3 linked regions of the Macaca mulatta genome follow. The protein of the gene in region 1 interacts with the protein of each later gene in a pairwise test. Links are inferred from orthologs where the notes say so. Each region holds a gene or a part of one and is shown in the gene's direction. Other genes may lie near its edges.

Region 1 (3,481 bases):
ATTGGGGGTTGAGGAAGCACAGGCTTTGGCAGGAATAAAGATGAGTGAGCCAGACAAGGCTATTGGAATCCTCACCCCAGAACCAAAGGGGTCAGCCCTGGACACTTCACCCAGGGTGTGGCATCTTCTTACTCCTGTTTCCAGATCTCAGAGAGGTGAGGACCTTGTTCTCAGAGGGTGACTCGGGTCAACATAGGGACCCCCATCTGGTCTAAAGACAGAGCAGTCCTACGATCTGCCATGCATTTGGGTGAGGAACATGAGGGAGGATTGAGGATACCCCAGGGCCAGAACACTGACAGAGACCGCACAGAAATCAGCTCTGCCCCTGCTGTCACCCCAGAGAGCATGGGCTGGGTCATCTGCCAAGGTCCCTCTCTTATCTTGGGATCATTGATGTCAGGGAGGGGGAGGCCTTGATCTGAGAAGGCTTCACTCACGTCAGTAGAGGGAGAGTCCCAGGCCCTGCCAGGAGTCAAGGTGAGGACCAAACAGGCGCCTCACCCAGGACACATTAATTCCAATGAATTTTGATATCTCTTGCTGTCCTTCCCCGAGGACCTAGGCCCGAGTGGCCAGATGTGGGTCCCCTCCTGTCTTTCTGTTCCTTATCATGGATGTGAGCTCTTTATTTGGATTTCTCAGACCAGCAAAAGGGTGGGATCCAGGTCCTGCCAGGAAAAATGCAAGGGCCCTGCGTGAGAACAGAGGGGATCATCCACCGCATGAGAGTGGGGATGTCACAGAGTCCAGCCCACCCTCCTAATAGCACTGAGGGCCCAGGGCTGTGCTTGCAGTCTGCACCCTGAGGGCCCGTGGATTCCTCTTCCAGGAGCTCCAAGAACCAGGCAGTGAGGCCTTGGTTTGAGACAGTGTCCTCAGATCACAGAGCAGAGGACGCACAGGCTGTGCCAGCAGTCAACGTTTGCCCTGAATGCACACCAAGGGCCCCGCCTGCCGCAGGACACATGGAACTCCACAGAGTCTGGCCTCACCTCCCTACCGTCAGTCCTGTAGAATCGACCTCTGCTGGCCGGCTGTACCCTGAGTGCCCTCTCACTTCCTCCTTCAGGTTTTCAGGGGACAGGCCAACCTGGAGGACAGGATTCCCTGGAGGCCACAGAGGAGCACCAAGGAGAAGATCTGTAAGTAGGCCTTTGTTAGAGTCTCCAAGGTTCAGTTCTCAGCTGAGGCCTCTCACACACTCCCTCTCTCTCCAGGCCCGTGGGTCTTCATTGCCCAGCTCCTGTACACTCCTGCCTGCTGCCCTGACCAGAGTCATCATGTCTCTTGAGCAGAGGAGTCTGCACTACAAGCCTGAGGAAGCCCTTGAGGCCCAACAAGAGGCCCTGGGGCTGGTGTGTGTGCAGGCTGCCGCCGCCTCCTCCTCTCCTCTGGTCCTGGGCACCCTGGAGGAGGTGCCTACTGCTGGGTCAACAGATCCCCCCCAGACTCCTCAGGGAGCCTCCGCCTTTCCCACTACCATCAACTTCCCTCGCTGGAGGCAACCCAATGAGAGTTCCAGCAGCCATGAAGAAGAGGGGCCAAGCACCTCGCGTGTCCTGGAGTCCTTGTTCCGAGCAGTACTCACTAAGAAGGTGGCTGATTTGGTTCGTTTTCTGCTCCTCAAGTATCGAGCCAGGGAGCCGGTCACAAAGGCAGAAATGCTGGAGAGAGTCATCAAAAATTACAAGCACTGCTTTCCTGTGATCTTCGGCAAAGCCTCTGAGTCCTTGCAACTGGTCTTTGGCATTGACGTGAAGGAAGCAGACTCCACCGGCCACTCCTATGTCCTTGTCACCTGCCTGGGGCTCTCCTATGACGGCCTGCTGGGTGATAATCAGATCATGCCCAAGACAGGCTTCCTGATAATCATCCTGGTTATGATTGCAATGGAGGGCGGCCGTGCTCCTGAGGAGGAAATCTGGGAAGAGCTGAATGTGATGGAGGTATATGATGGGAGGGAGCACAGTGCCTATGGGGAGCCCAGGAAGCTGCTCACCCAAGATTTGGTGCAGGAAAAGTACCTGGAGTACCGGCAGGTGCCCTACAGTGATCCTGCACGCTATGAGTTCCTGTGGGGTCCAAGGGCCCTCACTGAAACCAGCTATGTGAAAGTCCTTGAGTATGTGATCAAGGTCAGTGCAAGAGTTCGCTTTTTCTTCCCATCCCTGCGTGAAGCAGCTTTGAGACAGGAGGGAGCAGCTTTGAGAGAGGATGAAGAGGGAGTCTGAGCATGAGTTGCAGCCAAGGCCAGTGGGAGGGGGGCTGGGCTAGTGCACCTTCAAGGACCGTGTCCAGCAGCTTTCCCTGCCTCGTGTGATGTGAGGCCCATTCTTCACTCTGTTTGAAGAGAGCAGTCAGCATTCTCAGTAGTAGGTTTCTGTTCTATTGGATGACTTGGAGATTTATCTTTGTTCTCTTTTGGAATTGTTCAAGTGTTCCTTTTAAGGAATGGTTGAATGAACTTCAGCATCCAAGTTTATGAATGACAGTAGTCACACATAGTGCCGTGTATATAGTTGAGTAGTAAGAGTCTTGTGTTTCATTCAGATTGGGAAATCCATTCTATTTTGTGAATTGGGATAATAACAGCAGTGGAATAAGTATTTACTTAGAAATGTGAAAAATGAGCAGTAAAATAGATGAGATAAAGAACTAAAGAAATTAAGAGATAGTCAATTCTTTTTTTTTTTTTTTTTTTTTTTTTTTTTTTTTGAGACGGAGTCTCGCTCTGTCGCCCAGGCTGGAGTGCAGTGGCGCGATCTCGGCTCACTGCAAGCTCCGCCTCCCGGGTTCACGCCATTCTCCTGCCTCAGCCTCCTGAGTAGCTGGGACTACAGGCGCCCACAACCGCGCCCGGCTAATTTTTTGTATTTTTAGTAGAGACGGGGTTTCACCGTGGTCTCGATCTCCTGACCTTGTGATCCGCCCGCCTCGGCCCCCCAAAGTGCTGGGATTGCAGGCGTGAGCCACCGCGCCCGGCCGAGATAGTCAATTCTTGCCTTATACCTCAGTCTATTCTGTAACATTTTAAAAGATATATGCATACCTGGATTTCCTTGGCTGCTTTGAGAATGTAGGAGAAATTAAATCTGAATAAAGAATTCTTCCTGTTCACTGGCTCCTTTCTTCTCCATGCACTGAGCAGCTGCTTTTTGGAAGGCCCTGAGTTAGTAGTGGAGATGCTAAGGTAAGCCAGACTCATGCCTACCCATAGGGTTGTAGAGTCTAAGAGCTGCAGTCACGCAATCAAGGTGGCAAGATGTCCTCTGAAGATGTAGAGGAAAAGTAAGAGAGAGTGAGGGTGTGGGGCTCCAGGTGAGAGTGGTAGAGTGTAAATGTCCTGAGCTGGGGCATTTTGGGCTTTGGGAAACTGCAGTTCCTTCTGCGGGAGCTGATTGTAAGGATCCTGGGTGGATCCAGGGCCAGATTCTCAGACGGTGAGAGAAAAGCCTGAGTTGGAAAGCTGCTCTGAGGA
Region 2 (3,747 bases), on another chromosome or scaffold:
GATCACGAGGTCAGGAGATCGAGACCATCCTGGCTAACACAGTGAAACCCCGTCTCTACTAAAAAATACAAAAAAACTAGCCGGGCGAGGTGGCGGGCGCCTGTAGTCCCAGCTACTCGGGAGGCTGAGGCAGGAGAATGGCGTGAACCCGGGAGGCGGAGTTTGCAGTGAGCTGAGATCCGGCCACTGCACTCCAGCCTGGGCAACAGAGCAAGACTCCGTCTCAAAAAAAAAAAAAAAAAAGTGATTTTCAGAGAAAGATGCATTCTTCCCACTTTTTATAAGACTGAGAAAATGACACTTGTCTGTGGCAAACTATTAAAATATTAGAATTAGGATACTATTGTTAGCAAAAGGGAAAACAATAATAATACTTAGAATACTTGGCTGGGTGCAGTGGCTCACACCTGTAATCCCAGCACTTTGGGAGACCGAGGCAGGTGGATCGCCTGAGCTCAGGAGTTCGAGACCAAGCTGGGCAACATGGTGAAACCTCGTCTCTACCAAAAATACAAAACCTTAGCTAGGCATAGTGGTGTATGCCTGTGGTCTCAGCTACTTGGGAGGCTGAAGTGGGAGGATCACTTGAACCTGGGAGGGGGAGGTTGCAGTGAGCCAAGATTGTGCCACTGCACTCCAACCTGGGTGGCAGAGTGAGACCCCGTCTCAAAAAAAAAGAAAAAAAATTAGAATACTCTTATTAGTTTGTATTTGAGATACTTTCAGAACACTAAAAGGAAAAGGTGGGGGCTGGTTGCGCCCTGCTGTATACACATTCACACACACACCATAGTGTCTGTATCTGGGCTTCTGTTGCCTGGAATTCTCTTCCTCTTTCCTCTTTCTTCTGTTTTCCTTTTTTTTCCACCTCTGACTTTGAGGCCCCCAGAGCCAGGCCCTTCAGTGGGCCGGAGCTTCAGAAGGTGGCTCCAAGGCCCTCGGACGGCCCCAGAGTCTCTTCCTCTGGGGTTGCCTAGGGAGGCGGCACCCTGGGCGGTTGATGCCTCCCTCAAGAGGCTTGGCCAGCAGCCAGGGGAGTTAAACCTCAGCGGAAGGGCTGGGCTACCGGGCTGGGCCCAGAGCGGGGCATTCGGAGGAGCTGCAGAATCAATCATCTGAGAACCTTGGAGGGTGGATGGTGCCCCTTTTCCAGATGAGAAAACTGAGGCTCGCAGGGGAGAAGTAGCTGCCTCTGGCGGCGTGGCTTCTGGCTGCAGGATGCTCGTGGAGTTCGTGGTGACCCTAGGCCTGTGTCTCGATCTCCTTTGCTGAACTTGAACAGGAAGATGGCAGTGGGGGCCAGTGGTCTAGAAGGAGATAAGATGGCCGGTGTGTGTGTGTTGGGGGTCTGTGTTTGTTAATCTGTCTGTCTGCACAGGGGTCTTTAGAAAACTGTTTAAAGACAGTTGTTCAACTAACCACATGTAGGTCTCATTGAATTCATTTGTGCCAAGTACCTTACTGCCTCTGTGTCAGGCTAGCAAATTTGGGTTCCAACAGGTGTAACTTGGTTCTTGGCGGGCTGGAGGTGGGGGGAGTGGGGTGTAACAAAAAAATCTCTACTAACACTGTGGTTTGTAAGCCACCAAACGTTAAACAGATATACAGCATATCTGTGCTATTAACGTTTTGTGAGGAGGGCTGGTGACGGTGGCTCAGGCCTGTAAATCCTAGCACTTTGGGAGGCTGAAGCAGGTGGATTTCTTGAGCCCAGGAGTTTGACACCAACCTGGGCAACACGGTGAAAACCCATCTCTACAAAAAATTTAAAAGTAGCTGGGTCTGGTGGCACGCACCTGTAGTCCTAGCTACTTGGAGGATCGCTTGAGTCCAGGAGTTCAAGGCTGCAGTGAGCTGTGATTGCACCACTGTACTCCAGCCTGGGCGACTGAGCCAGACCCTATCTCTAAAAGTAAATAAATAAATAAACATGTCGTGAGGGGGATGATAATTAGGGAAACCACGTCTACAGTGGCTCCCTGATGTGAGTTGGAGTAGATGATGGAAAGAGGTTGGAAGGTGTCAGCTGTCTAACGTGGTGTGAAAAGTCTGAAGACAGCACGTGCTGTGCAGTGCTATGCACGTCCCCCTGCCTCAGTCACATGTCCTCTTCTGCAGAGGCATTTAGTGAGGCCCCTGGGGATGCCAGGAGAGCTCCTGCCCTCCGAAAACTTCTGGTCTGGTGGGGGCAGCAGAGCAGACAGCCACTGTGGCTGCCAGCCACCGGGACAAGCATTTCGAGAGGTGTGTGCCTGCCTGTCGGCTAAATCCTGGGCCTGTGGCCTGATCAGCAAGACAGCTGTAGTTCTTGTATTCTGGAAGTTTAGGAGTCAATGTGAATACATTTTTAGAAAGTAAATGAACAGCAGAAATGATGTAAACACGGGAGGTGACTAATCATGCCTGGGGCAATCTGGAAAGGCTTCTGGGAGGACTTGGCATTTCCCTGGCCCTCTTCAACCCACAACAACTCCATAAAAAGCGGGGGCTACCGTTGTCCTTGTATTCCAGCTAAGGAACCCACAACTCAGAGAGGTGAGGTGAGTTGCCCAAGGTCACACAGCTTCTAAGGGACAGAGCTGGGATTGACCTGGTTTGATGTGACTCCAGGTCAGGGCAGGGCGAGGTGTGTCCTGTCTACCCAGACTCAGATCTGCTGCCTGTGCTTCAGTTATCTGGGGGCTTTCCTTCTCTTGGTGACTACTTGACCCAAACCCTGAGATGCTCAGTCTTTTGAATTTTAACATTCCAAGATCCTGCCTGCTCTGATTCCCAGTTTCAGGATTCTCAGTGCAAGGTTCCCAGCAACGTGGAGCCCCCCGAGGATCTTTCCTGAGTCGCTCAGGACGGCCACACGGCGGGGTCTCTGGAGCTGGAGTCTGGGCTCCCTGCAGCCCGCTCCTCCACACAGCCTAGATGCGGCCCACATGGGGTCTAGATGGCGCCTGGGCCAGAAGCAGCCTGGTTTTAGGGCCAAAGAGGCAAAACGAGCAGTCTCTGACCTACTCCGTTAGGCAGGTGTTGAGACAAGTAGGATGTGGCCACTGGAGACCCCTCTGTCGGGGCCCTGCCCTGGCCCTCTACTGTGGGACTGTTTTTTTTGCCTTCCGGCGAGAGGAGAGGTGGAAGGTGGGGCCTGGGAGCGACCCCGCCGCTCTGGGCCTTGCTTGCTGATCGGTGTGATGGCACCGTTAGAGCCAGCGGACACAGGCTGAGGAGGACCGAGGTCAGCAGCCAGTGAGACGAGGAAGTCATCCCTCCACGGGAGGGGCTTCTGCATATGCCATTTTTGTTGTTGTTTAATACATTTACTCTAGCAAATGTGAAGGAGGCGTTATGCTGCCTGCCACACACAGTAAGCAAACTCTGCTCCTCCCCGTTCTACCTGCGTGGCCTCAGCTGAGACAAGATCTCTCGGAGCCTCAGGTTTTCTTTTATTTCATTAAAAAAAATATGTCTTTTTTTTTTTTCTTAGAGACAGGGTCTTACTCTGTCACCCAGGCTGGAGTGCAGTGGTGTGATCATAGCTCACTGCAGCCTTGACCTGGGCTCAAGCCATCCTCTGCCCTCAGCCTCCTGAGTAGCTGGGATGACAGGCATGCACCAGCATACCTGACTAATGTTTAATTTTTTTGTAGAGACGGGGTCTCACTATGTTGCCCAGGCTGGTCTTGAACCCCTGGCTTCAAGTCATCCTCCTACCTTGGCCTTCCAAAGTGCTAGGAGTACAAGGTTGAGGCACCATGC
Region 3 (3,647 bases), on another chromosome or scaffold:
CAAACGTTAACTCTTCTCCCTGGCCTTGCTCTGTACATTTGAGGTAAGAATGTACTTGGTTTGGCCAGATAGTCTCTCATGTCCCTAAACCTGAAGCTTCTGTTGACTGTAAATGGTAGAGAAAAGGAAAGTACCCCCAAGGTGTGAACTCTAGTTAGGGAAAAAATATTTTTGGGCTTGACAGTGACTCTTAGTTAACTCAATTGCTGGAATAATAGAGTCAGAAATATTTCTTTGTTTTTCAGGGAGGTAGAGGCAGGAGCATAATATGCGGAAGCTGGCAATACCCAGTTGTAACATGGTATTAGAAGGAATGTTATTTTACATGGAAGATAATCCCTAGTGATCCTTTTTTTTTTCCTCGAGACAAAGTCCTGCTCTGTCGCCCAGACTGGAGTGCAATGGCAATTCTCCTGCCTCGGCCACCATGCCTGGCTAATTTTTTGTATTTTTAGTAGAGACGGGGTTTCACTATGTTGGCCAGGCTGGTCTCGAACTTCTGACCTTGTGATCCACCCGCCTTGGCCTCTCAAAGTGCTGGGATTACAGGTGTGAGCCACCGCGCCCAGCGGATCCTGTCTCTTGATGTCCTCCCATTCTGGGACACTAAATGGTATCCGACTTTGGTTTCCCTTATGTCATTCCTGGTGTGAAGGATACGGGATATTATAGAGGAGAGTGGCAGGTATTCCAATCTGAACCACGCTGTCATCCTTGCCCCGGCTCAGGCCCAGGGTTCTAACTCCACGGGAATGGGCTTATCTGGGGACTGCTGCTGCTGCAGTCAGGAAGACTCCCCTCCAGCCGGGAGCAGCACTGGCCTGAGCACTGCGCTGGAGGCCAGCCTCTTCGCTGTGGTGCCCAAGTACTCCTTTCAGGTGACCACATTTTTAGTTCCTCTTCTAAGTGTAATCGAGCAGATGGGTGTTTTGTTTTCCAGTTAGCAGTCAAGTCTGCAGTGTCCTTTGTGTTTTTATCTCCCAGGATACCAGTCTCACCTAAGCTTTTTTTTTTTTTTTTTTGAGACAGAGTCTCGTTCTGTCGCCCAGGCTGGAGTGCAGTGGCCGGATCTCAGCTCACTGCAAGCTCCGCCTCCCGGGTTTACGCCATTCTCCTGCCTCAGCCTCCCGAGTAGCTGGGACTACAGGCGCCCGCCACCTCGCCCGGCTAGTTTTTTGTATTTTTTTAGTAGAGACGGGGTTTCACCGTGTTAGCCAGGATGGTCTCGATCTCCTGACCTCGTGATCCGCCCGTCTCGGCCTCCCAAAGTGCTGGGATTACAGGCTTGAGCCACCGCGCCCGGCCTCACCTAAGCTTTTATAGTCCCTGCTGCCCACTTTTCTCAAGAAACAAAGCATTTGTCAAGTAGGAGGGTCCATGGAGGGACCTTTCTCACATATGGATGTGTAGTTCCAGTTACATGTGCAGGGTGTTTGGTACATGTTGTTTTGTGTTTGGTTTGCAGAAAGTAGATAGAATAAGGGCCGATTTGATTTGGGTAAGGGTGAGCATGGTACAGTAGAAAAAGCATCATACAAGGAGTGGGGAGTCCTGAGTTCTGGAGATCATTGTGTCATTTCGTTTTTGTTTTTGAGGTGGAGTTTCGCTCTTGTTGCCCAGGCTAGAGTGCAATAGTGTGATCTTGGCTCACTGCAAAGGCCTTCCAGGTTCAAGGGATTCTTCTGCCTCGGCCTCCTGAGAAGCTGTGATTACAGGAGTGCGCCATCACATCCGGCTAATTTTGTATTTTTAGTAGTGACGGGGTTTCTCCATGTTGACTAGGCTTGTCTTGAACTGCTGACCTCAGGTGATCCGCTCACTTCGGCCTCCCAAAGTGCTGGGATTACAGGTGTGAGCCACCGTGCCCGGCCCATTTTGTTTTTTGTTTTTATTTTTAAGAGATGGGGACCCGCGTTATCACATTGGGAAGGGGTAGAGAGACCTGCGTTATCACATTGGGAAGGGGTAGAGAGACCTGCGTTATCACATTGGGAAGGGGTAGAGAGACCTGCATTATCACATTGGGAAGGGGTAGAGAGACCTGCGTTATCACCCCTGTGAAGGGGTAGAGAGACCCGCGTTATCACATTGGGAAGGGGTAGAGAGACCCGTGTTATCACATTGGGAAGGGGTAGAGAGACTTGCGTTATCACATTGGGAAGGGGTAGAGAGACCTGCGTTATCACATTGGGAAGGGGTAGAGAGACCTGCGTTATCACATTGGGAAGAGGTAGAGAGACCTGCGTTATCACATTGGGAAGGGGTAGAGAGACCTGCGTTATCACCCCTGTGAAGGGGTAGAGAGACCCGCGTTATCACATTGGGAAGGGGTAGAGAGACCCGTGTTACCACATTGGGAAGGGGTAGAGAGACCCGCGTTATCACATTGGGAAGGGGTAGAGAGACCTGCGTTATCACATTGGGAAGGGGTAGAGAGACCTGCGTTATCACATTGGGAAGGGGTAGAGAGACCCGCGTTATCACCCCTGTGAAGGGGTAGAGAGACCCGCGTTATCACATTGGGAAGGGGTAGAGAGACCCGCGTTATCACATTGGGAAGGGGTAGAGAGACCCGCGGTATCACATTGGGAAGGGGTAGAGAGACCCGCGTTATCACATTGGGAAGGGGTAGAGAGACCTGCGTTATCACATTGGGAAGGGGTAGAGAGACCTGCGTTATCACCCCTGTGAAGGGGTAGAGAGACCTGCGTTATCACATTGGGAAGGGGTAGAGAGACCTGCGTTATCACATTGGGAAGGGGTAGAGAGAGGGTTGTTTTGCATGTGGGGTACTTCATTGTAATATGAAAAAGGATTGACACTGAGCTTAATGTTTTCTTAATCTCACTAGCTTGGGGAAGGTTTTCCTACAGTACCCAGGATCCGTCTCTTCTCCTTGCATCCTGATCTATCATGGGACACTGTAGCTCCTTCTAGACCCTAAAGCATACAGTGCTGGAGGCAAGAGGATTTGGGTTGCTGGAACTCACAGAGTACCCTGTACTTGTTGGGGTTTGGGTTGTTGAGGGAGGGAGGTTCTTGGGGTCCCAGTACTTAACGGCCGTGTTCTATCTTCATTCTCAGATGAGCAATGGCAGGCGCTGGTGAGCGCAAAGGCAAGAAGGATGACAATGGCATTGGCACGGCCATTGACTTTGTGCTCTCCAATGCCCGGCTGGTGCTGGGGGTGGGTGGAGCAGCCATGCTGGGCATCGCCACGCTGGCAGTTAAGCGGGTAAGTGCATGCAGCCAGGGTTAGGGGTGGGATGTAGTGGTATGGTCATAACATGTAATATCTTATAGAAAGAAAATGTCGAGGCCGGGCGCGGTGGCTCAAGCCTGTAATCCCAGCACTTTGGGAGGCCGAGATGGGCGGATCACGAGGTCAGGAGATCGAGACCATCCTGGCTAACACAATGAAACCCCGTCTCCACTAAAAATACAAAAAAATTAGCCGGGCGTGGTGGCGGCGCCTGTAGTCCCAGCTACTCGGGAGGCTGAGGCAGAATGGCGGGAACCCGGGAGGCGGAGCTTGCAGTGAGCCGAGATCGCGCCACTGCACTCCAGCCTGGGCGACAGAGCAAGACTCCGCCTCAAAAAAAAAAAAGAAAATGTCGAAGCATTCTAGTAATAGGAGGGAATGATCG

What was found.
Region 2: the proteins of melanoma-associated antigen 1 (region 1) and SELPLG interact in a two-hybrid assay, tested with the Homo sapiens proteins (2 studies listed by BioGRID). The two-hybrid records come from large-scale screens. The link is inferred for Macaca mulatta from reciprocal best matches to the Homo sapiens genes MAGEA1 and SELPLG.
Region 3: the proteins of melanoma-associated antigen 1 (region 1) and MIEF1 interact in binary tests that used the Homo sapiens proteins (3 or more experiments, as listed by UniProt). The two-hybrid records come from large-scale screens. The link is inferred for Macaca mulatta from reciprocal best matches to the Homo sapiens genes MAGEA1 and MIEF1.

The regions. Positions count from the first base shown.
Region 1 is NC_133426.1:159,459,709-159,463,189, reverse strand, and holds melanoma-associated antigen 1, read left to right. Parts: upstream 1-1,229; 5' UTR 1,230-1,283; coding exon 1,284-2,234; 3' UTR 2,235-2,947; downstream 2,948-3,481.
Region 2 is NC_133416.1:115,765,497-115,769,243, reverse strand, and holds the start of SELPLG (P-selectin glycoprotein ligand 1), read left to right. Parts: upstream 1-1,103; 5' UTR 1,104-1,286; coding exon 1,287-1,329; intron 1,330-3,747. UniProt on the Homo sapiens protein: A SLe(x)-type proteoglycan, which through high affinity, calcium-dependent interactions with E-, P- and L-selectins, mediates rapid rolling of leukocytes over vascular surfaces during the initial steps in inflammation.
Region 3 is NC_133415.1:12,033,040-12,036,686, reverse strand, and holds part of MIEF1 (mitochondrial dynamics protein MIEF1), read left to right. Parts: exon of another isoform or gene 1-65; intron 66-3,084; 5' UTR 3,085-3,091; coding exon 3,092-3,235; exon of another isoform or gene 3,236-3,274; intron 3,275-3,454; exon of another isoform or gene 3,455-3,612; intron 3,613-3,647. UniProt on the Homo sapiens protein: Mitochondrial outer membrane protein which regulates mitochondrial fission/fusion dynamics.